Linked DNA regions of Astyanax mexicanus. The protein of the gene in region 1 purifies or fractionates together with the protein of each later gene. This does not show direct contact. Links are inferred from orthologs where the notes say so. Each region holds a gene or a part of one and is shown on either strand. Other genes may lie near its edges.

The links. Proteins that work in one complex are often made in the same cells at the same time.
Region 2: the proteins of coro1a (region 1) and ift57 purify together in Homo sapiens (affinity purification with mass spectrometry; 3 studies listed by BioGRID and IntAct, counting the BioPlex papers as one, with this or other methods). This does not show direct contact. The link is inferred for Astyanax mexicanus from reciprocal best matches to the Homo sapiens genes CORO1A and IFT57.
Region 3: the proteins of coro1a (region 1) and poc1a purify together in Homo sapiens (affinity purification with mass spectrometry; 3 studies listed by BioGRID and IntAct, counting the BioPlex papers as one, with this or other methods). This does not show direct contact. The link is inferred for Astyanax mexicanus from reciprocal best matches to the Homo sapiens genes CORO1A and POC1A.

Annotation. Positions count from the first base shown.
Region 1 is NC_064426.1:19,145,171-19,152,641, reverse strand, and holds the start of coro1a (coronin-1A), read left to right. Parts: upstream 1-4,469; 5' UTR 4,470-4,617; intron 4,618-7,471. UniProt on the Homo sapiens protein: May be a crucial component of the cytoskeleton of highly motile cells, functioning both in the invagination of large pieces of plasma membrane, as well as in forming protrusions of the plasma membrane involved in cell locomotion.
Region 2 is NC_064411.1:27,941,172-27,948,591, reverse strand, and holds the start of ift57 (intraflagellar transport protein 57 homolog), read left to right. Parts: upstream 1-4,405; 5' UTR 4,406-4,689; coding exon 4,690-4,844; intron 4,845-6,576; coding exon 6,577-6,751; intron 6,752-7,420. UniProt on the Homo sapiens protein: Required for the formation of cilia. Plays an indirect role in sonic hedgehog signaling, cilia being required for all activity of the hedgehog pathway.
Region 3 is NC_064431.1:16,184,458-16,191,542, forward strand, and holds the start of poc1a (POC1 centriolar protein homolog A), read left to right. Parts: upstream 1-4,070; 5' UTR 4,071-4,515; coding exon 4,516-4,518; intron 4,519-6,790; coding exon 6,791-6,875; intron 6,876-7,085.

The sequences.
Region 1 (7,471 bases):
TGTGCGCTATTGGCTGCCGCTTCTCACCGGTGTGTGGATGAGTGTGGATGTGTAATGTGCTTGTGTGTAAAACGTGTAAATTGTAAAGCGTCCTTGGGTTTCTAGAGAGGCGCTATATAAGTTGAACTTCATTAATTCATACTTAAATGGAAGTCGATTATCAAAATCACCCAACAGAGTGGCTTGCAAATGTATTCATACCCTTCAATCTTTTTCACATTTTGTCTCCTTACATCCACACACTTACATTTATTTTATTAATATTTTAAGTGATAGACCAACACAAAGTAGCACATAATTGTGAAGTGGAACGAAAATAATACATGGTTTTCAAAATTTTATTTATTCAAATTAACATCTGAAAATGCTCATCACCCTGAACACCCCATCTCCACTGTGAAGCATGGTGGTGGCAGCATCATGCTGTGTGAATGCTTTTCTTCAGCGGGGACAGGGAAGATGGTCAGAACTAGAGAGATGATTGGAGAGATGTATCTCTGTGGACTGAGTGTGCTAACTGAGAGCCTAAACGCTCATCTTGTGATGCACTGTATGGATAATACTCTGGTTGCTGGTTTGGAGGAGCTTTACAGTGGACCATCATGCACGTTCTATTCAAACAAGCCCAGATTGGGACCTGAGTGTGGACTCATTTAGTCAGCACAAGTGTGAAAACACTTTAAACGCAAGTAAGGTTGATGGACTTAAATATAGAAATAGAGTGGCTTTCAAAAATATTCATATAACTTGAATTCTTTCACATTTTGTCACCCTACAACCGCAAACTTACCACTGACGGACCAACACAAAGTAGTGCGTAATTGTGGAGCAATGATACAGTGAGTCCAAGAAGTATTTGATCCCTTGCTGATTTTCTTTGTTTGCCCACTAATAAAGACACTATCCTTCTGCACTTTTAATGGTAGATATATTCTAACATGGAGAGACAGAATATCAAGACAAAAATCCAGAATATAATTTTAAAGAATATATTTTAATTAATTTGTATTTCAATGAGGAAAATAAGTATTTGATCCCTCTTGCCAAACACACTCAATACTTAGTGGCAAAGCCTTTGTTTGCAAGCACAGCGGTGAGACGTTTGTTGTAGTTAACCACAAGTTTAGCACACACACCAGGGGGAATTTTGGCCCACTCTTCTTTGCAGATCCTCTCTAAATCATGAAGGTTGTTGGGCTGTCGCTTGGCAACTCTGACCTTCAGCTCCCTCCATAGATTTTCGATCGGATTGAGGTCTGGCGACTGGCTACTGGGCCACTCCATGACCTTAATGTGATTTTTCTTGAGCCAATGCTTTGTTGCCTTTGCTATATGTTTAGGGTCGTTATCATGTTGGAAGACCCAACCACGGCCCATTTTCAGATCCCTGGCAGAGGGGAGGAGGTTGTCCCTCAGGATTGTGCGGTACATGACTCCATCCATCTTCCCAGTGATGCGGTGAAGTAGCCCTGTACCCTTGGCAGAGAAACACCCCCAAAACATTATGCTTCCACCTCCATGCTTGACGGTGGGCACAGTGTTCTTGGGGTCATAGGCAGCATTTTTCTTCCTCCACACATGGCGGGTGGAGTTGAGGCTTTGGAGCACCGGGCCGAGGTCTGTTGATTGTCATGTTATACTCTTTAAACTTTCTGATAATTGCACCAATAGTTGTTACTTTCACATCCAACACCTTACTAATCTTTTTGTAGCCCATTCCAGCTTTGTGAAGGTCAACAATTCTGACTCTGAGGTCCTGTGACAGCTCTTTGGTTTTATCCATGTTGGAGACTTGAAATCTGTGTGATCTGTCTGATTCTGTGGACAGGTGTTTTTCACACAAGTGATTAGTGAGAACAGGTGGCTTCAGGTCAGGTAACAAGTTGATTGGGAGTGTCTAACTGGTCTGTAAAAGCCAGAACTGCTAATGAATACTAAGGGATCAAATACTTATTTCACTCCATGAAATACAAATCAATTAATATATATTCCTTAGATTTATTTTCTGGATTTTCTTTTTAATATTCTGTCTCTCCATGTAAGAATACATCTACCATTAAAAGTATAGAATGATCATGTCTTTATTAGTGGGCCAACGAAGGAAATCAGCAAGGGATCAAATACTTCTTGGACTCACTGTACATGGTTTTCAAAAGTTTAATCAAATTGTAACGCTGAATTCCCACAGACTTTATCTTTAGCACAGGATTTAGAAGCTCCGGGCCTGGAGGCTGCGTGGTGGGTAGCTAGTTAGCTGTTAGCACACAGTACACATACACAGGAGTGGGCTTCACAAAGGGCTAATTTATTAGCACCACAGACCATACGAAGCCAGGTCACACGGCTGCTACTCATTCTATTTATACACAAAAGAAAAATACAGTATTCTTATCAACGTCACTTGGAGTAGTACAGAGTATCAAAAATGGAGGGGCAGCATAAAGTTGCAGTCCGAGCTCACCCTCCTCTCCTCGGGGTCTCTCTACTACTAGCCCTCATGGGAAAAAAACCCTGTATACATACACATAAAAAAAAGCTACCATCTCTTAAAGGGGCAGCGTAGCTGTACCCGTTACAAAATACAAATCTGAAAAGAGTGACAAGCAAAAGCATTCAGCCCACTTTACTCTGAAACCCCTAAATAAAATAGAGCGCAATCAATTGCCTTCAGTCACCTAATTAGTTAATAGTGTTTAGTGGTGTGTGATTTAGTCTTAGTTTAAATACACCTGTTCTGTGAAGTGGATTGTTAGTGAACACTAGTGAACAAACAGCATCATGAAGACCAAGGAATTCACCAGACAGGTCAGAGATAAAATCGTGGAGAACATTCCCCAAACTTTCAGCATTGCAAGGAGCACTGTTCAGTTCACCATCCAAAAATGGGAAAAGTATTCTACAACTGCAAACCAACCAAGACATGGTCGTCCACTCAAACTGACAGATCGAGCAATTAAAGCACTGGTCAGTGAATCAGTCAAGAGGCCCATGGTCACTCTGGAGAAGCTGCAGAAATCCAGAGCTCAGGTGAGAAAATCTGTCCACAGGACAACTATAAATCGAGCATTTCACAAATCTGGTCTTTATGGAAGAATGGCAAGAAGAAATTCATTGTTGAAAAAAAGACATAAGATGTCCTGTTTAAAGTTTGCAACAAGTCATGTAGGGGACGTGGAAACGTGGAAGAAGGTGCTGTGGTCAGATAAGAACAAAAGTGTAACTGTTTGGCCTACATGCAAAGCGTAATATTTGGCAGAACAGTAACACTGCTTATCACACCATGTGAAACATGGTGGTGGCAGCATCAGGGCAGGGGAGCTGGAAAGAGTTGATTGGAACATGGATGGAGGTAAATACAGGGCAATCCTGCAAAAGACTTGAGACTGGGAAGGAGACACACCTTCCAGCAAGACAATGACCCTAAACACACAGCCAGAGCTGAAAGAACATTTATTTGTTAGAATGGACCTAAATCCCATTAAGTATCAAGCAAAACATGAAAATTATTGTTCACAGACACTCTCCATCCAACCTGGCTGAGCTTGAGATATTTTGCAAAGAAGAATGGGCATAAATCTCAATCTATAGATGCACAAAGCTGGTAGAGACAAACTCCAAAAGACTTGTAATTGTAATTGTAAGTAAAGGGAGGCTCTACTACGTCTCTCATGAATCATGTATCATTTTTTGTTCCACTTAACAATGATGTGCTACTTTGTCTTGGTCTGTCATTGAAAATTTGTGATTGTAAGGTGACAAAAAGTCACAAAGTTCAAGGGGTTTAAATACACCATTCCCACTGTGAAACATGGGGGTGGGAGCATCATGCTCTGGGGATGCTTTTCTTCTTCCAACCTGGATGAGCTTGAGATATTTTGCAAAGAAGAATGGGCAAAAATCTCAGTCTCTAGATGCGCAAAGCTGGTAGAGATAAACCGCAAAAGACTTGCAGCTGTAATTGCAACAAAAGTAGGCTCTACTAAGTCACAATTATGTGCTACTTTGTGTTGGTCTATCATTGAAAATCTCAATAAAATACATAAAAAATTGTGGTTGTAAGGTGACAACATGTGAAAATGTCCTTGTGCAAGCCACTGTATCTGAACCTGATCACTATAATAGGAAAATCTAATACATACTGGTCCTTTAAGCAGCCGAATGCTTTAATTAGAGGGCGTATCCACAAATATTTGAACATGCAGTGAGCATTAAGTTAGTCTCTCAGACTGAACACCGAGGAGCTTCAGTCAGTAGAGGCTCGTGAACTGACTTCAGCACGGGCAGTTTAAAATCAGCGCGAGGCTCCGGGCTGCAGGTCCCCGCCGAGTCACATGGCGCGTGCAGGGAGGGAGACAGGAGGGCCACACAGAAGAGTCACAGTGTCATCTGCTGCGGCTCGAGCCGCTCGACGCTCTTTAAAAGGAAAAGAAAAGCAGAAAGAGGAGGAGATTCTCATCTGCAGCTCTCCGACTTTCACTTCCTCTCTGTGATCTGAACGCACATCTCCTGCTGCCAGTGCCGCCCTGCGCTCACTGCACACTTCTCTCTCTGCGCCTGAACCAGCCAGAGCCCAGCCCTCAGCCCAGCACTCGGCCTTCCACGACTCCTCATCTGCAGGTACTGTACCTCCTTCAGTTCCTTTACCATGTTTTTGACCACGCTTTCACCCTTTTGTTTTTACCTCAGCCAAATGCATGAACACCTTACTCTCTCTTTGCACACAGTTTTGTGTGTTCCATTCCTTTGTGTACTAATGAAGCATCCTTCATTTCCAGTTTTTGAGCTCTGGATGTTCAGGTTCTACTCTACAGCTTCTTCTTGCTAGAAGAGCTCGGCTACAGTTAAATGACCGCTGCAGTCCATTAATGAGTCAAAGCCATGCAGAGCAAAGAGCACAAAGTGGTGGGGTGAGGTGCGGCTGGAGGTTTGAGGAAGTAGGTGAACTGGGTGTTGTACAGCTCATCACTGTTGCAGAGGCTCCCATATCTTTAACAAACATTGGGCTTCATTCATCAATATTTTATTAAGAGTTTTCTGAGGTCTGTTTTTATGTTTTAACTTACTAAGAACAATCTACGCCGGATTCACGACATGTTCTGAAGCTGTGTTCTTAAAAAAATCTGTGTTTTAGCATAGAAACCTGCAATTTTCTAGAAAAATAAGAGCAGCTGCTCTTGGAAAGCAAAGGAAAGCAATGTACTGTATTATACCATTCAAAACTTGTGTGAAAGCGCAGCTGATGAATGGCTGTGATACACTCATCCGGTCTGCCATTTCCTGCTAAAATATTTAAATCCCAGTGGCTAAAAAAAAAAAAAAAACAAGGGTGAAAAATACCTGCATAGGTGGGGACACTGAATTTGACCATCAAGTATGGCTTTGAAGTGCTGGTCCTAAATATAGTCCTGGTAGCCTAAACCTTGATATTGAGGTACTGATGTATAATTTTCTGCGCTGTCTTCTCAAAAGTGTGCTTGGCAAGTTCTTCACGCAAGTAACAGACATGCTATTTTGATAAGAAGCCCTTAAATAGAGCGATTAACAGAGCAATCACTGAACAAGGCTGGGCTTTATCAACTTGCAGTTGCAAGAAACAGGATTTGAACACTTTGGGATTTGGGCTTTGATCTTTATCTAAGGCACAACAATAGACAAACACAGTCTGCTTAAACTAATGCCACACAAACAATTATATTACATTTGCATGATTTTATTGAACACATCATGTTAAAATTTACATTGAGGGAGGGAAAAAGTATGTGAACCCCTAGGCTAATGACTTTTCTAAGAGGATGTGATGAGGTTGTTGATGTCTTGGTTAAAGCTGCCCTGCCCTATAAAAAAAAAACTCACACCAGTTTTGAGTTTGCTGTTCTTAAGAAGCATTGCTTGATGTGAATCATGCCTCACACAAGCTCAAAGAGCTCTCAGAAGACCTACATTCTAAAATTGTTGACTTCCACCATGAAGCTGGAAAGGGTTACAAAAGTTGACATTCTTAAGAGCAAAATTCAGATAAGAAAACTGAAAAAAAAAAGTGAATATCAGATTCTTCGTACAAAAAAAGGGCATAAGTGGGCTTTATATGTGGATTTGTTCCTAAGAATGATTGGGGAACTTAAGCCTATTATGAATTACTTTAGATTTTATTTATAGTTGCCTACATCAGAACACAGCTAGTTTAGCTGTTAAGCTGAGTGTACGTTGTGCAGTGTATCAGTGAACGAGTGCGATCTACACTTTTGCTTTGAACTTCCTGCAGGCTTCACAGTGCAAAGGGTGCAAAGGGTGGTGACGATACACATGCACGTCAGGTTATGATGCTTGATTTTGATACAGAATATCATCAAGTGTTTGTAGTATCACAATAATATTTGATAGGGATGTAACGATACGACACAAACTTAATGTGGCACAAAAAGCCAACAGTTGACTTGGGAATAAAGTGAGAGATACAAAGAAATGAAAGAACAAAGAACTGAACCCACTTAACACCATATGGTCAAAAAAACACTATGGACAAAAGGGTCCATAGTTGGGACACCTGTTCATTCATTGATTTTGCCAGTACTAACAAAAAGATGTATTATTCTTCTTTGTATTTGGAGTAACTTTCTCTACTGTCCATAGAGAGCCTTCACGGCATTCATTCATTGTATCTCCTCATCCTCATTCTCTCATCCAGCTCATCCCTTCCCTCATCCTAGAACTACTGGACTATTGGACAGTTCCTCTTCTCCACAGCCCAATACTGGGAGCTTTATACCCCTTTAGCCCATGGCCATAGATAAATGCATTCATTAGAAAAGGTGTCCACAAACATCTGGACATATTTGGATATACTGTGTGATTTTCACTCTAACTGAAGCTCTAATCTGCAGATCTAGGTTTCCTGAAAGTATCCCAGAACAAAGCTGATTCTTAGATGGTGAAGCGAGCATCACACTGAACACTAAACACTCTCTCTACTCTCCACCAATTCAAATGATCTCAACACTAAGATGTTTTTGAGGAAAGTGGGCTCAGGGTTGGTAATATGCACAAGTTGGGGCACACCCAGTTAAATCATGTCAGATCTGTAAAAGAGACGCACTTCTGCACATTCTACAGTTTAATTGCCTTACTGTTTTTGTTGAATGTAGCATATTGCATAAAAAGGAACATTAAAACATATTAAATATTTTACATATTTTTTTTATGTAACATCCACTAAATAGATAGAAATTGGGTTTTAAATATGCATAAAAGGTGTATCTTAGTTTGTTTAGAGATAGTAATTGTAGTCCTTGTAGTACCATAGTATTAGAACATTGAGTATTGCAACTACTACTGAAAGAACAGAACTTTTAGTAATATCTCTTTTATAGTATTTGATAGTATCTTAGCATTGCAAAATGTATTACTTTAATGGTATTTGTACAGTATTTCTTCATCGTACTTTAATATTGAAACATGTAGTAGCTCTTTGCTG
Region 2 (7,420 bases), on another chromosome or scaffold:
AGTGTGCAAGATCTACACACCCAGCTACAACATCTGTTGGCAAATATGCCACAAGATGCCATATGGAATCTGTACGCCTCCGAACGACAACTTTCACTTTCTCAATAAACTTATCCTTTTACTCTAATATTTTAATCACCTACATATACAGTATCATCATTACATTCACACATACAGTATGAAGCTTCATTCTATTCCAACAACTCTTTCTTGGTGCGTTATTATTATTATTATTATTATTATTATCATTATTTTTGTCAATGAGTGTATTTGTCGTCCTCAATATAAGTCATACACAGACCAAACATGTATGTAAATGGGAGAGAAATGAGAAATGGAATGACTCATTTTTATTATTTCAGCATAGTTAAATGGTTAAGAATGAAAAACAGTAAGATAAAGCCAACATGAGCTTACGTGTGCCACTCCTATTGTTATAAAAATGTCCTGTCTTATCATTTGCCAAATTAGTGCAGATGCTAAATATGTCTGGGCAACTAATGAGCGCCAAAAGCTCAACAACAAGATGATCAAGGAACAGCTGAAATATTTTTTCCTGACATTTTAAGCTTTGAGAAGTTATACTGACTTTACCACAGAAAAATCTGTAACTTTTTAAAAGTAAATTAAAAATAAACTTTGCCCAATTAAAACCTCCACTTAAACCTTAAAAGGCAGTGTATACATATAGCAGATAAACTGCGTTACTGTGTGTGTGTGTGTGTTTGTGTGTATCTGACATGTCTGCTAAAAAAAGATTACTTGAAATAAATATGAACAGCTGAGCAGCTCTACTGGAATTCTTTCTCTCTCTCTCTCTCTCTCTCTCTCTCTCTCTCTCTATCTCTCTCTCTCTCTATCTCTCTCTCTATGAAACCCACACACACTCATTGATACACGCATGTTTAAATGCCGATATGCATTTGATATCTTGATAGTCTTAGCAGTAATACAAAAACATACATATATTTCTTAAATAAAAGCGTAAATCCTACTTGAAATTCAGTACAGATATTATCATTAAAACATCATAAAATTGCTGTTTTGAACTGTTCATCAGTCCTGCATGTCGGCTTGGAGGAATTTTAACCCATTCCTCCATACAGAACATCTTCAATTCTGGAATGTTGGTGGGTTTCTGCTGCTTCAGCTCCTTCCACAATTTTTCTTTTTTACTGGATTAAGATCAGGATTTTGGCCAGATCCCGTTCCAAAATATTCACTTTGATCTTCTTCGTCCATTTTTTGCTAGAATGACTCATGCACTTAGGGTCATTGTCTTGCTGCATAACCCACCTTTTTTTGAGATTTAGCGCAGACAAAAGTAATATTAATAATAATATTAATACTATTAGTTTCCATGAGGATTTGCTGGCATAATTCATTATTCATTATTCCATCAATCATGGCACATCCTTCATTTCCTGCCAGCATTAGCTAACTAAAACAAATCACTTTGTATTCTTTGAAAAACAACAATGGTGCCAGAGAACTATGTCTGGAATGATCTTGCTATAGTAAAAAAGCACCACACAGTGAGTTTGGAGATATTTACGGGAACTTGAGCAAATAAGATATTCTTATATACCTCACAATTAATTGTACTACTGTTTTTAACAGTTACATCATCAATAAAATGGGTCAAAATATCTGTGGCAGCCATGCCCGATCCATGACACCTCCACCACCATGTTTAACAGGTAGGTAGGTAGGTTTGCTTTGAATTGTGGGCCCACTGTTGCATGGTCTTTAGTCTTTTAAGCACTTTTTTGCACACTGTAAACTGATTATTTTGCTAATCTGGCCAGAATACTCTGCCTTTTTGCCGTCTTTTGACTATTTTTTATATTTATAAGACTACACAAGAATGATATTTTACTTCAGACTACACAGGAACGATACTTTCTGTCATGCATGCATTCACCCATTGCAAGCTGCACGACAGAGTAGACAGTGACAGGATGGACAGTTACAGAATGGACAATTTAAGAGAAAACTGGCATTTGTTGAAAACTGGCATGTTTGAATGTTCATGGTGAGGTAGTTCTGTTTCAAAGATACTGAGATAATTACTGAGATATTTTACTAAAAGACTGTGGACAGCTTGAGCTTAAACACAGCTTAATATGGAAATAATGTGATTCATATTAAATTAAATTGCTGAACATGCAACAAGTGTCTTAAGTTTCTTAAGGTTATGGTATCACTGATGTAAAACGTTATGTTAAAGGGGCGGGGTTATCCCAAAATGACAGAATGGACAGGGAATTCTTGGAAACATTTAAATAGTTTGATATATGTATATAAAAAGCTAAATTAAAAATGTCAGTGCCTAAAAACTTTATACATTTTTAACACAATTTAAAAAAGGTTATTTAATCCCCTGAAAGAATCATTCAACTTAACTAAGCAGCAAAAACCTTCCCACATCAAATAAAGCTTTAAAGGCCTTTAAAGTAGATCTATATTTTTATAATGTGTTAATTAAAAAAAATTGTATTATACAATGTTTGTAAAAAATTTAAATAAATATTTCACAGACGTATGGAGACATTTGTCTCAAAATGAGTGGAGTAGAACTTAAATCAATAAAAAAATAACTGATTTTTTGGATTAAATATGGATTCAAGGATTAAATTAACTTGACCGGTGATTCTTTGTGCTTTTTTGAGTTCTAAAATTCTAAGTTAGACTGAGTATTCCTACAATAAGCAAAACAATCTTACACATACACAATGCTTAGTGAGATAAAGATTCTTATCAGAGAGAAAAAAAAATGATTGCCTTGAAATTAGATAATTTCACATTTTGTGCATATTGTGACTTCAAATTACATGAAACAATGTGAAAATTATTCTTAAAATAAGCAAATATTCTTATACTTATACACAGTGCTTAGTAAGACAACCAATCTTTTCAGAGACAAAAATAAGATTTGTTGCCTTAAAATTCAATCATTTCACTTTTTGTGCTTGTTTCGAGTTCAAATTACTTTAAATAATGTGAAAACTCCTAATTATTCCTATAATAGTCAAAATAATGTTAACATTACACAGTGCTTAGTAAAACAAAAATATTTATCAGATAAAAAAAGGTTTATTTCCTTACAATTAGATAATTTTTGTGCTTATTTTGTGCTAACATAAGGGAAAAAAGCCTAATTATTCCTAAAATAAGCTAAGAAAAAAAAATCTTACATTTATACAGTGCTTAGTAAGAAAAACAATCTTATCAGAGGAAAAAAGAAATATGTATTGCCAGGAAATTAAATAAGTGTTATATACAGTGTTGACGAGTCTAGCTATATTTCTATTTCTATTTATTCTATATGAAATTGTCTATCTATTGACTGACTAATACAAACCCGCCTGTATTTTCTAAATGTCTGATCTAATTGACCATTTTTATTGACATAACTGAGTGTTTTTGTAGTGTGCAGGTATTACTGCTAAACGTTACTGAACAACAGTTAGTGAGCCAGAGTTGCCAGGTTCACGGTTTTTCCGTCAAATTGGGCTTGTTTGAAAATCCAGTCGCGGGTGAAAATTCAGGGGTGGCGGGGTGCGTTTTTCGGGCTTCTTTTAAAAATTACCGCGGCCACCAAAAAACAAAAACAAAAAGTCACACCCCCCCCCCACCCAAAAAAAAAAAAAAAAAACATAGTGTAACCAGAAATCACTAGGCAATTAAAAATAATGAAGAGGAGTGAAGAAAGTTCAGGAGGGGCAGGAATAGAAAAGAGTAAGTAATTTTATTTTATTTTTTGCTATTTATGTTATTATTAAATGTTCTTGACTGTGATATAAAACTGTTATAAAATAACTAATAAAAAATACTAATGTAACACTATTATTAATGACTGTAAGTAAATACTAAGCCGTGAGACAGACAGCTCTGGAAAAAAATTAAGAGACGACTTCAGTGATTTTGCTATTTAATAGGTACATGTTTGAGTAAAATAAACATTGTGGTTTTATTCTATAAACTACGGCCAAATTCTCCCAAATTCCTGAAAAAAATTGTCATTCAAAGTTTTATTTGCACAAAATGAGAAATGGCTGAAATGACAAAAAAGATGCAGAGCTTTCAGACCTCAAATAATGCAAAGAAAACAAGTTCATATTCATATTTGAGTTCAGAAATCAATATTTGGTGAAATAACCCTGTTTTTAATTACAGTTTTCATACATCTTGGCATCATGTTCTTCTCCACCAGTCTTACACACTGCTTTTGGGTAACTTCATGCCTTTACTCCTGGTGCAAAAAATTCAAGCAGTTCAGCTTGGTTTGATGACTTGTGATCATCCATCTTCCTTCGTGATTATATTACATTATGTTTTCAATTTGGTAAAATCACAGAAACTCATCATTTTTAAGTGGTCTCTTATTTTTTTCAGAGCTGTATATTTTGGGCTAGTTTAAGCTTCTGAATGGCGGGTTCTAAACTGACTTTGGGCTGGTTATGTTTTTAGACCTGGCAACCCTGTAGTGAGCTACAGGCTAAACTAAGCTGCCAACAGTAACTACAACAAACCGCACAGACACCAGCCCAGCATTAGCAGCGGCTAGCGGGATAACTTAGCTAACCTAGCTAACTGTACACCCTTCTACAGCACAAAAGAGGCTTTAATTTACCCATCTGACGAGTAAACTACAGCTCTCTAACCCGCTGTAGTTTAGTGTACAGTATGGCAGAAGATGGTAGAAGAGTGGAGGAGGATGAACGGGGTCCAGGAGCTCAATTTCAGATGTTTGTGGTTATGGAGGATATGCTGGATAAACTGAAGCTGCTGGATTATGAGGAACATGTTCTGGTTAAACACAACATGAAAACGCTGTCCAGGTAAGAGTTCGGCGAGTTAAAACAACAAAAAATGAGATAGACTAGCTTATTATAGCATTGTTATTAGCCTTAGCTGGCTATTTTGTTTCTGGATCCAGGTCCAGAAAGTACCTGTCCACCCCAGGATTTCGTTCCAACTACCTGAGCGGCTCTGCTGCAGCTCAGAGCCACCCAGACAGTTGGAACTAAATCCTGGGGGTGGATCAGTACTTTCTGGACCTGGATCGGCCACTGTTGAGTAAATTCAGCAAGTCATGTAGCTATCTTCATGTAATGTTATTTAGCCAGTATTTAAAGCTAAGCCCGTAAAAATACATGTATATATAGCTCTGGAAAAAAATAAGAGACCACTTAAAATGATTAGATTTTACCAAATGAAAAACCTCTGGAATATAATCAAGAGGAAGATGGATGATCACAAGCCATCAAACCAAGCTGAACTTCTTGATTTTTTGCACCAGGATTAAAGGCATAAAGTTACCCAAAAGCAGAACATGCCAAGATGCATGAAAACTGTGATTAAAACTACGTTTATTCTAACAAATATTGATTTCTAAATTCTTTGATTGATTTCTTTGCATTATTTGAGGTCTAAAAGCTCTAAAATGGTATTTTCTGCAAATAAGTTCTCTAAATGACAATATTTATATTTGGAATTTGGGAGAATTGTTGCCTGTAGTTTATAGAATAAAACAACTTAAACATATATCTATAAATAGCAAAATCAGATTCAAAACAATAAAACCACAAGGACCTCCAAATTCTGCCTAATCTGTCTTATTGTGATAGAAGAATTATTGCACACATTCTGTAAATCCTATAAACTTAATTTCTCTTCTCAAATGTCACTGTGTTCGTCTGCTATATGATACATTTAACTAAAATTGCTGATCCAAACAACCAAAAATTTATGAAAGGAAATCCTGAAAATGATCAGGGGTGCCAAAACCTTTTCATACTACTGTAATGCTACTGTAGGATCTTGTGGAATATTTTGCTAAAACACTGATTATTGTTGCTTTTTAGAGCAGCTCTACATAAAAATAATCCTGCCAGTTGTACAGGGGTTAGACAATGAAACTGAAACACCTGGTTTTAGACCACAATAATTTATTGTCCCGACGGACAGTTCTGGTGGAAACAGGATAGTTGAGGTGCACATTGAATTCTGCCGTGATTTGATCAGGTTCTTTTATGTTTTTTGGATACACTCCGGGTTAGCACCCAAACATCCCTTTCAGACAGTTTCCTCTTACAGCGTCCACAGTTAATCCTGTTGGATGTGGTTGGTCCTTCTTAGTGGTATGCTGACATTACCCTGGATACCGTGGCTCTTGATACATCACAAAGACTTGCTGTCTTGGTCACAGATGCGCCAGCAAGACCTGCATCAACAATTTGTCCTCTTTTGAACTCTGGTATGTCACCCATAATGTTGTGTGCATTGCAATATTTAGAGCAGAACTGTGCTCTTACCCTGCTAACTGAACCTTCACACTCTGCTCTTACTGGTGCAATGTGCAATTTATGAAGATTGGCCACCAGGCAGCTCCAATTTAGCCATGAAACCTCCCACACTAAAATGACAGGTGTTTCAGTTTCATTGTCCAACCCCTGTATTAGTTATAATATTAATAATATAACATTGATTGTCCTCATTTTGTCTGTGTTTCTCTCTTTGTCCTTGTCTTTTTCTTTCTCTTGTCCTCCTCACTGTTCCTATTTTTCTCAGGCATTATTTTGTGTCGAGTCCATACACAGCGAGCAACACGGGTGAGCAGTTCTACATGTTCAGTGTGATTGCAGCCTGGCTTATAACACTGTGTGGACGGCCGTTTGAAACACCACAGGAGCATGATGACCCCAACGCCACCGTCTCCAACATCCTGTCCCAGCTCCGAGCTCTGGTCAGTTACAACAAGGCAGAAACATTGAACATTGAAGAGTGTGCATGAGTAAGAAAGTATGAGACAGAGACATGGGACATAGATGGGTCCCCTCGAGATGAAGGTGGGCTGTAATGATGAAGCTCATTTGGGAATTCCAACTGTGTCTCAGTAACAACACATGTACAAACCCATTCAGAGCCCATGCCCATGTCTTGAACCCACCTAGCCTGTGTTCCACCCATGTGAATCCCACATCATGGAGCCATCAGAGCAAGATTGGGAATAGGGGTGTGCCATAACAAATCTGCTAACATTTTTGAATATCATGAACGATATAATACCCTGAAATATCGTGTCATATCACCCACCCCTAATTATCACATCAGGGTACTCCTTCTTTTTTTCAACTGTTTTTAGCAAAAGAAAAATTCACACTGTTCTCGTTTCCCATTATATATCTACTGGAGATTTTATCTGCCCAGTATCATTTATTTTACTTTAATCATGGATATATTGAGATATATGGAGTGCATTATTAGTCCTGTTAAAATCTTATATATTTTTTAATGTCTCAGTTAGGGGTGTGCCGTAACATATCATATGCAATAATAACATTTATTTTTTTCATTTTGTTGCAGTAGTGTATTTTTTATATATTTTTTTAAATTCAGTGTTCTGTGGTATCAC
Region 3 (7,085 bases), on another chromosome or scaffold:
CTGAACTCTCAGTCTGAGATACTAATGGTGCTATTTTACAAGAATTAGCTTTCTGCGGCTTGATTTGAATTTAAATTTGAATTTAATGTGTATTTCCATTGTTCTTTTTTTTTTTACTGTGTCTGTAAATTCTAATGAACTGCATTTATATTTCTACCTTTATATATTTCAGCACCTGTCCTGGTCGTTTTACTTGGAGTAAACATTCAAATAATGTGAAATGATGATATAACTTGAACCGTGCTATCTTTATGACTTGTGCACTTTGTCAGATCAGAGCTCATGTTTTATTTCTGCTTTATGAAGCAATTTAGCACAAAGAAAGTATTTTTTTTTTAAAAAAGGAGTTTTTTTGAATTACTTGATATCTTTAACAATCATGCTTGAAAACACAAGGGGAACCTCATGTGAGTCATGTGACGTGATACTTGTTTTCTTTCTTTCTTGTTTTAAATAAAAATGCACTTATATATTTGTAAAAAAAGGATTAACTGGTGCTCAGAAACTGGTGCTAGACTCTAAACTGGTGTGTCTTTACTGGACGCTGCTGTTTTATAGTGAAATGTTGAGTAATCACAGTTTATGGCAGCTGGGGCACTAATTACTCATGATGATGCCACCCAGACTGTCATTTCTGAAAGAGGTGATTTTATACTGATTTCATTATAGTAAAAATAGTTATCATGCTCTTGTTATGCTACATGTAATACCTGCTATACATACTGCATTTCTATTTAATATAAATAAATAAATGAATAAAAAGGCGTTTGTTTCTGATTATCTTTGATTATAGATTATGGATTTACACACAGACACACACATACACACACACACACACACACTCAGCTGAGCTGAGCTTTGAGCTGGTGCTTATCTTCTGTGAAACCCAGTTTAACCCAATTACTAGTAACTCAGAGCCACCTTCTCTTCAGCAGAACAACTAATATTTAAACATGTCAGCCTGCACTTCTTTCCCAGAACATGTTTGCTGAGTGGAGCTCTTTCTGAGATCCCACATACACACACACACACACACACACACACACACACACACACACACACACACACACACACAAACAGATAGTATTGGTTGAAAGATTTTGTCAAATGGGATCCTGATGCTCATGTTGTAATACAGCATAGGAAAAAATGAGTCCCAATTTAAAAAAAAAAAATAGCTTTGCCAGTTTGTTAAATCAATCTTCCTGACAAAACAGGGTTTTTGGAGTGCAATAGATAATGTAAAATAAAGAAAGATCAATCAGTTTAAGCGAAAAAACGTCACTTATACAGTGAAGTTTAAGAGTTCTTAGAGTTCTGACTTATGCAAAAATAACCTAACTGTATTTTCTTGGTCTCAGCCAGAATATCCAGCATAGACAGCCTTCACCAGTCTAACCCTCAGGACCCTTCACTGTTTGGGTGTCTTTTTGCTACCCTTAAACTGAATCATTGTCCTTTTCATTGTTCATTGCACTTTTGTCCAGAAGATTTGTCCACTGAATAAACCGCATTTGTATCTTAACAGCGCAGCGCTTTTGCGTGTCTCAGCAGAGGATCCTGACTTGCTCGTTCACTCTGTAAAGGTACGCCAGCAGCTCATTTAAGGGAACAGCAATGTTATTTTATTCTTTATTCTGTTTATTGTTGATGTGAAAGCTGGATTGTGGTGTAAGTGTGTAAGAAACGTGGGTGTATACGCTGAGGGCACGCAACGCACATGGCGCTCCTGCATGGCTAAGATAGGATTGGAGGCCTGACTGTTGACTGTTGTCAGGGTTTTAATCAGTAAGTTGGCAAATGTAAGACAAGCCTTTGTTTTCTTTTGGTTCAACAGTGGTTTTTGCTTTGGACTCTCCCATGGATACCATTTTCAACCAGTCTCTTTCTTATAATTGAATCATTAATACTGACCTTAACTGAGAGAAGTGAGACCTGTATTTCTTCAAATGTTGTTCTGGGTTCTTTTGTTACTTCCCGGATGAGTTGTTCAGGTTCACCAGTGTTCCATGTTTTCTCCATTAGTAAATAGTAGCTCTTACGGTGGTCTGCTGGAGTCCCAAAGCCTTAGAAATTGTTGAAGTTGTACCTTTTCCAAGATCAGTGAGTTTCTCAGTTGCTGTTTTCTCACCTGCTGTTGATTTTTTTTTTTTTTCATATTGGGGCAGATTGTTGCTTTTTGAGATCTTTTAGCTGCTTCTGGTTGTGGACACTGGACAGTAGTGAAATTTAATTTAGCTTTGCACAAAATGTAGTTAATCACAGTTCATTCATGGAAAGGCAATTAATAATTTACCTTAATAAATGAAATAGTTATTTATAAACGTTTTTTTTATTTATCTTTGTTTGATATTAAAGTTTGTTTAGTAATCTGAAAAATTTAAATATAATAACACAAACAAACAAATAATAAATCTGTAACGGGGAAAATACTTTTTTATCAGTACTGTATATAGAACATGACAACTGTACAAATGCCTATACAGTTATACAGTTATATACTGGTTCTCTTGTTCTACACATATAATATATATATATACATTTATTTATTCCAATTATTTTATTTTTTTTAGAATCTTGTGAATATACATTTATCATGATTCAAACATCCTTTATCAGGCTTAAATGTTGAGGTAGGAAAAAATATTGGAAAAACTATATATGAATAGTATTATTTTATTTAAATAAATGATTTTAAAGCCATCTATGTTTTTTTTTCTTATTAAAAGTGTAAGTATTAATTTATAGGTCAAATAAAAAATAAATAAATTTAAGCCTACAATTTACCGACCTCTAGCGGGGGTCTGATTAAACTGCAGTTTCCACAATGCTGACTTCCAGTCTGCGCTTTTAAATCTCTGTCTCTGTCCAAATTATTATATACTTTTTTGAAATTATTTTGATGTGTATTATTAAATGTAATTTATATTTAATGTATAATTTGTATTTCCAGTTCGTATCATTTTATATAATATATTGTCTTCCAGGGAGCTTTTATTTTGATTAAAAAAAAAATGCTCACGTACTGTATACTGGCCAATCAGGAGTCGCCCAGAAAATCTCTAGTAGCGAGAATACCCACTAGACTAGTGAATCTTTGTCAGATTTGACCACTAGGAGGCGCTGTCGAGTGAGTCCAAAATTAATGGCTTCATATGGAGCAATTGACCAAAATTGGAGATTGTAAATAATGAATCATTTGAATGCTTTTAAAGTGTACTCATTTTCTAAACACAGAACAATATATCCTGTTTTAGTACAGAAAAACATAATTTTAAAGCTTTTTTACTCCAGTTATAAACCTTTTAATCATGCTTTTGCTATGTATCCGCCTACAGTTGCAGTAACGAGCACCTTAACTGCCTAAAACCGGTTTCCTGAAGAAAAACTAAGGTACGTTTTATTTATTTTTAGCAAAATACATCATTATAATTTTCAAAATTAAAGGAATATCCTGGCTAAGTGTAATTCGTATTTTTTATTTTATTTATAATTTGTTTAGTTGTTTAGCTCCATTCACCCCCATTCATTTTGGACTCACTCGCGGGCTCCCTCTAGCGGTTAAAACAGTAATGCTCTGATATAATGGCGGAGATCTGTCTTAGCGACCAACTTTGATTCATTTCAACGAACCGATTCTTCATAACGGTCACTTGAATGAATGGGAAGTAGTGAAGTCAGTCACTTTTTCTTTTAATTGGTTGTATTTTAATTTTTAAAGTGATTATTTAATAGATTATAAAAATCTACAATTAAAATTCTAACAATACATCACTTTTAAATATTTGCTAAATTAACTCTGAACAAACTTTTTATTTTAAGAAAATGGCTTTTTAAATAAAGAATTTCGATTATTATTAGAGGTGGGTAAGCAGAGCCGCCCAGGCAGTTGGTACAAAACCCTGGGATGGATTTTTTTTACTTTCTAGAGCAATATATTTACATACAAATAAGTTACTTTAAACAAATGTCATTGCCATACATAGCAGGGTGATTAAAACGGTCAACTATTTATTAATAGTTTTGATTCATTAAAATGAACCGATTCAGTAAAATGATTCATTCACAAGTCGGCGCGGAAAACAAATCTGTCGGCGGTTTGTTTTCGTTACTAAGCGGCTCAGAGCCGAGTTCCTAGTGCTTCTCTCACTCTGAACTTCTTTACACTTTCTGTACAGATTCGGATATTTCAGTACAGCTCGCAGATAGACGGCTATTCAGTTCAAAGTGAATAAAACCGGGAAGTTTGCCTGGTTTTAGCTCTTAGAAACCCGAGAACACCTGATACGGAGCCGGGGAGCGTTAGTTAGCCAGGTAGCTAATGCTAACTCCACAACAACCGCCACCTGTAACTCAGCTCTCCTTATAAAAACACATATATAATATAAGTAAAATATCTGCTTATATTTACTGTGACTCTGTTTATTGTAATGTTAAACATTAGCCAGTGAGTTTATCGGCTGGGTGTGTGGACTATCTGCTCTTTCTCTGTGTATAAAGAAAAGGAGCTGCGCTATGGTGAGTTATTTACTGGCTTTAACTAAAACTAGCTAATCTATGTTTGTGGATCATCCAGATTTTGGACCTCTGAAAATACAGAGACCACTTAAAATGAATGAGTTGATTTTACCTAATTAAAAACATCTGGAATATAAACAAGAGGAAGATGGATGATCACAAGCCATAAAACCAAACTGAACTGCTTGAATTTTTGCACCAGGAGTGCAGGCATAAAGTTATCCAAAAGTAGTGTGTAAGACTGGGGGAGGAGAACATGCCAAGATGCATGAAAACTGTGATTAAAAACCAGGGTTATTCCACCAAATATTGATTTCTGACCTCTTAACATTTTATGAATATGAACTTGTTTTATTTGCATTATTTGAGGTCTGAAAGCTCTGCATCTTTATTGTTATTTCACTCATTTCTCATTTTCTGCAATTAAATCCTCTAAATGTCAATGTTTTTTTGCAATTTGGGAGAAATGTTGTCCGTAGTGTATAAAATAAAACAAGAGTGTTCATTTTTCTCAAATATATACCTATAAATATCAGAATCATAGAAACTGATTCAGAAACTATAGCGGTCTCTTATTTTTTTCCAGAGCTGCATATTACATGAAATACACATTTACCGTATTTACTTGAACATTTAAACTGATTTCAGAGCTTTAACGAGGTTCAGTTGTATAAATAAATAAATAAAAAATAAAAGTAATCCAAATTATGAAGAAAAACATAATTAACTAGAAAAGTTAACACAAGATAGTTGTGCAGCTAAAATTGATTCCACTGTTCGCTGTGGAGGTTGCTATGTTGTTGCTAACCGGTGGCTAGGTGGTTGCTAAAGAGGTTGCTTGGGTATCTGTGCGGGTTGTTAAGCTGTTGCTAAGCGGTTGCTAGGTGATTTCTTAAGTGTTACCATGTTATCCGTGGTGGTTACTATGGTGGTCCCATGTGGTTGCTAGCTAATTGCTAAGGTGTTGCTGTTGTATCCTTGTTGGTTGCTATGTTGTTTATAAGTGGTTGCTAAGGTGTTGCTATGGTATCTGTGGTGGTCGCGATATTGTTGCTAAGTGGTTGGTAAGGTGTTGCTAGGTGGATGCTAAGATAATGTATTTGCATAATCTGATCTATGCAAATACATTAGCTAGGTGGTTGCTAAAGTGTTGCTATGGTATCAGTGGTGGTTGCTATGGTGTCCATGGTAGTTGCTAAGGTGTTCCTAAGTGGTTGCTCTGTTGTTGCTATGGTGTTGCTATGGTGGTTGCTAAGATGTTGCTATGGTGTCCATGGTAGTTGCTATATTGTTTCTTAGGTGTTGCTAAGTGGTTGCTAAGGTCTTACTAGGTGGCTGCAAAGTAATGTATTTGCATAAATCAGATTATACATGGCTTGGGTATGGACTCTAGGTTGCTCTGGACGTGTGATTGTTGTTTATTATGGCTTACAGCCAATGAAAACCCAAAAATCGGTATCTCAGAAAATTAGAATATTATATAAGATCAATTGGTACTTTCTGCAGTGTGGGCCAAGTCCTGCTGGAAAATGAAATCTGCATCTCCATAAATGTGCTGTAAGATTTTGTGGGAAAACACTGCACTGACTTTAGACTTGATAGAACACAGTGGATCAACACCTGCACATGACATGTCTCTACAAACCATCACTGATTGTGGAAACTTCACACTAGACCTCGAGCAGCTTGGACTGGGTGTCTCTCCACTCTTCCTCCAGACTCTGATCCCTTGATTTACAAATGAAATGTAAAATGTACTGATGAGCAGTGATGGTTTGGAGTGACATGTCATCTGCTGGTGTTGATCCACTGTGTTAAATCAAGTCTAAAGTCAGTACAGTTTTGTTTTCCCACAAAATCTTGCAGCACTTCATGCTTCCCTCTGCTGACAACTTTTATGGAAATGCAGATTTCATTTTCCAGCAGGACTTGGCACACTGCCCACACTGCAGAAAGTACCAATTGGTCTTATATAATATTCTAATTTTCTGAGACACAGATGTTTGGCTTTTTATTGGCTAAAAATTCCATTATTATCAACAATGAAATAAATAAACACTTAAAATAGATCACTCTGTGTGTAAAGCATTTATTTATATTATATATGAGTTTTGCATTTTGAAAATAATTACTGAAATAAAAGCAACTTTTGGTATTCACATTTTTTGAAATGCACTAGTATATACATTGCTATACATTTGACCTGGGTGATAGCGCTAGTGTTAGGGTTAATAACCTGGTGCCTTTATCTTTTAATATTGTGCTTTTTCAGGATGATCCATCCCTCCAGAGAAACTTTAAAGGGCACAGAGACACAGTAACCAGCATCGACTTCAACTGTAACATGAAGCAGATAGGTACAGTATAGAGCTCTCTTATTTAACCTTTCTAAACTAAATTATTATTAATTATATTCAGAAATTTCATTATTGCAATGTAGTCAAAGAATTTATGTTTAGAGCGTTAATAAACTCTACCCACTTCCAGCCCCTCACCCTATTACTGCTTTAGACCACACCCACCTCCAACATCTCAAGTAATTACTGCTTAAGCCACACCCACTTCCA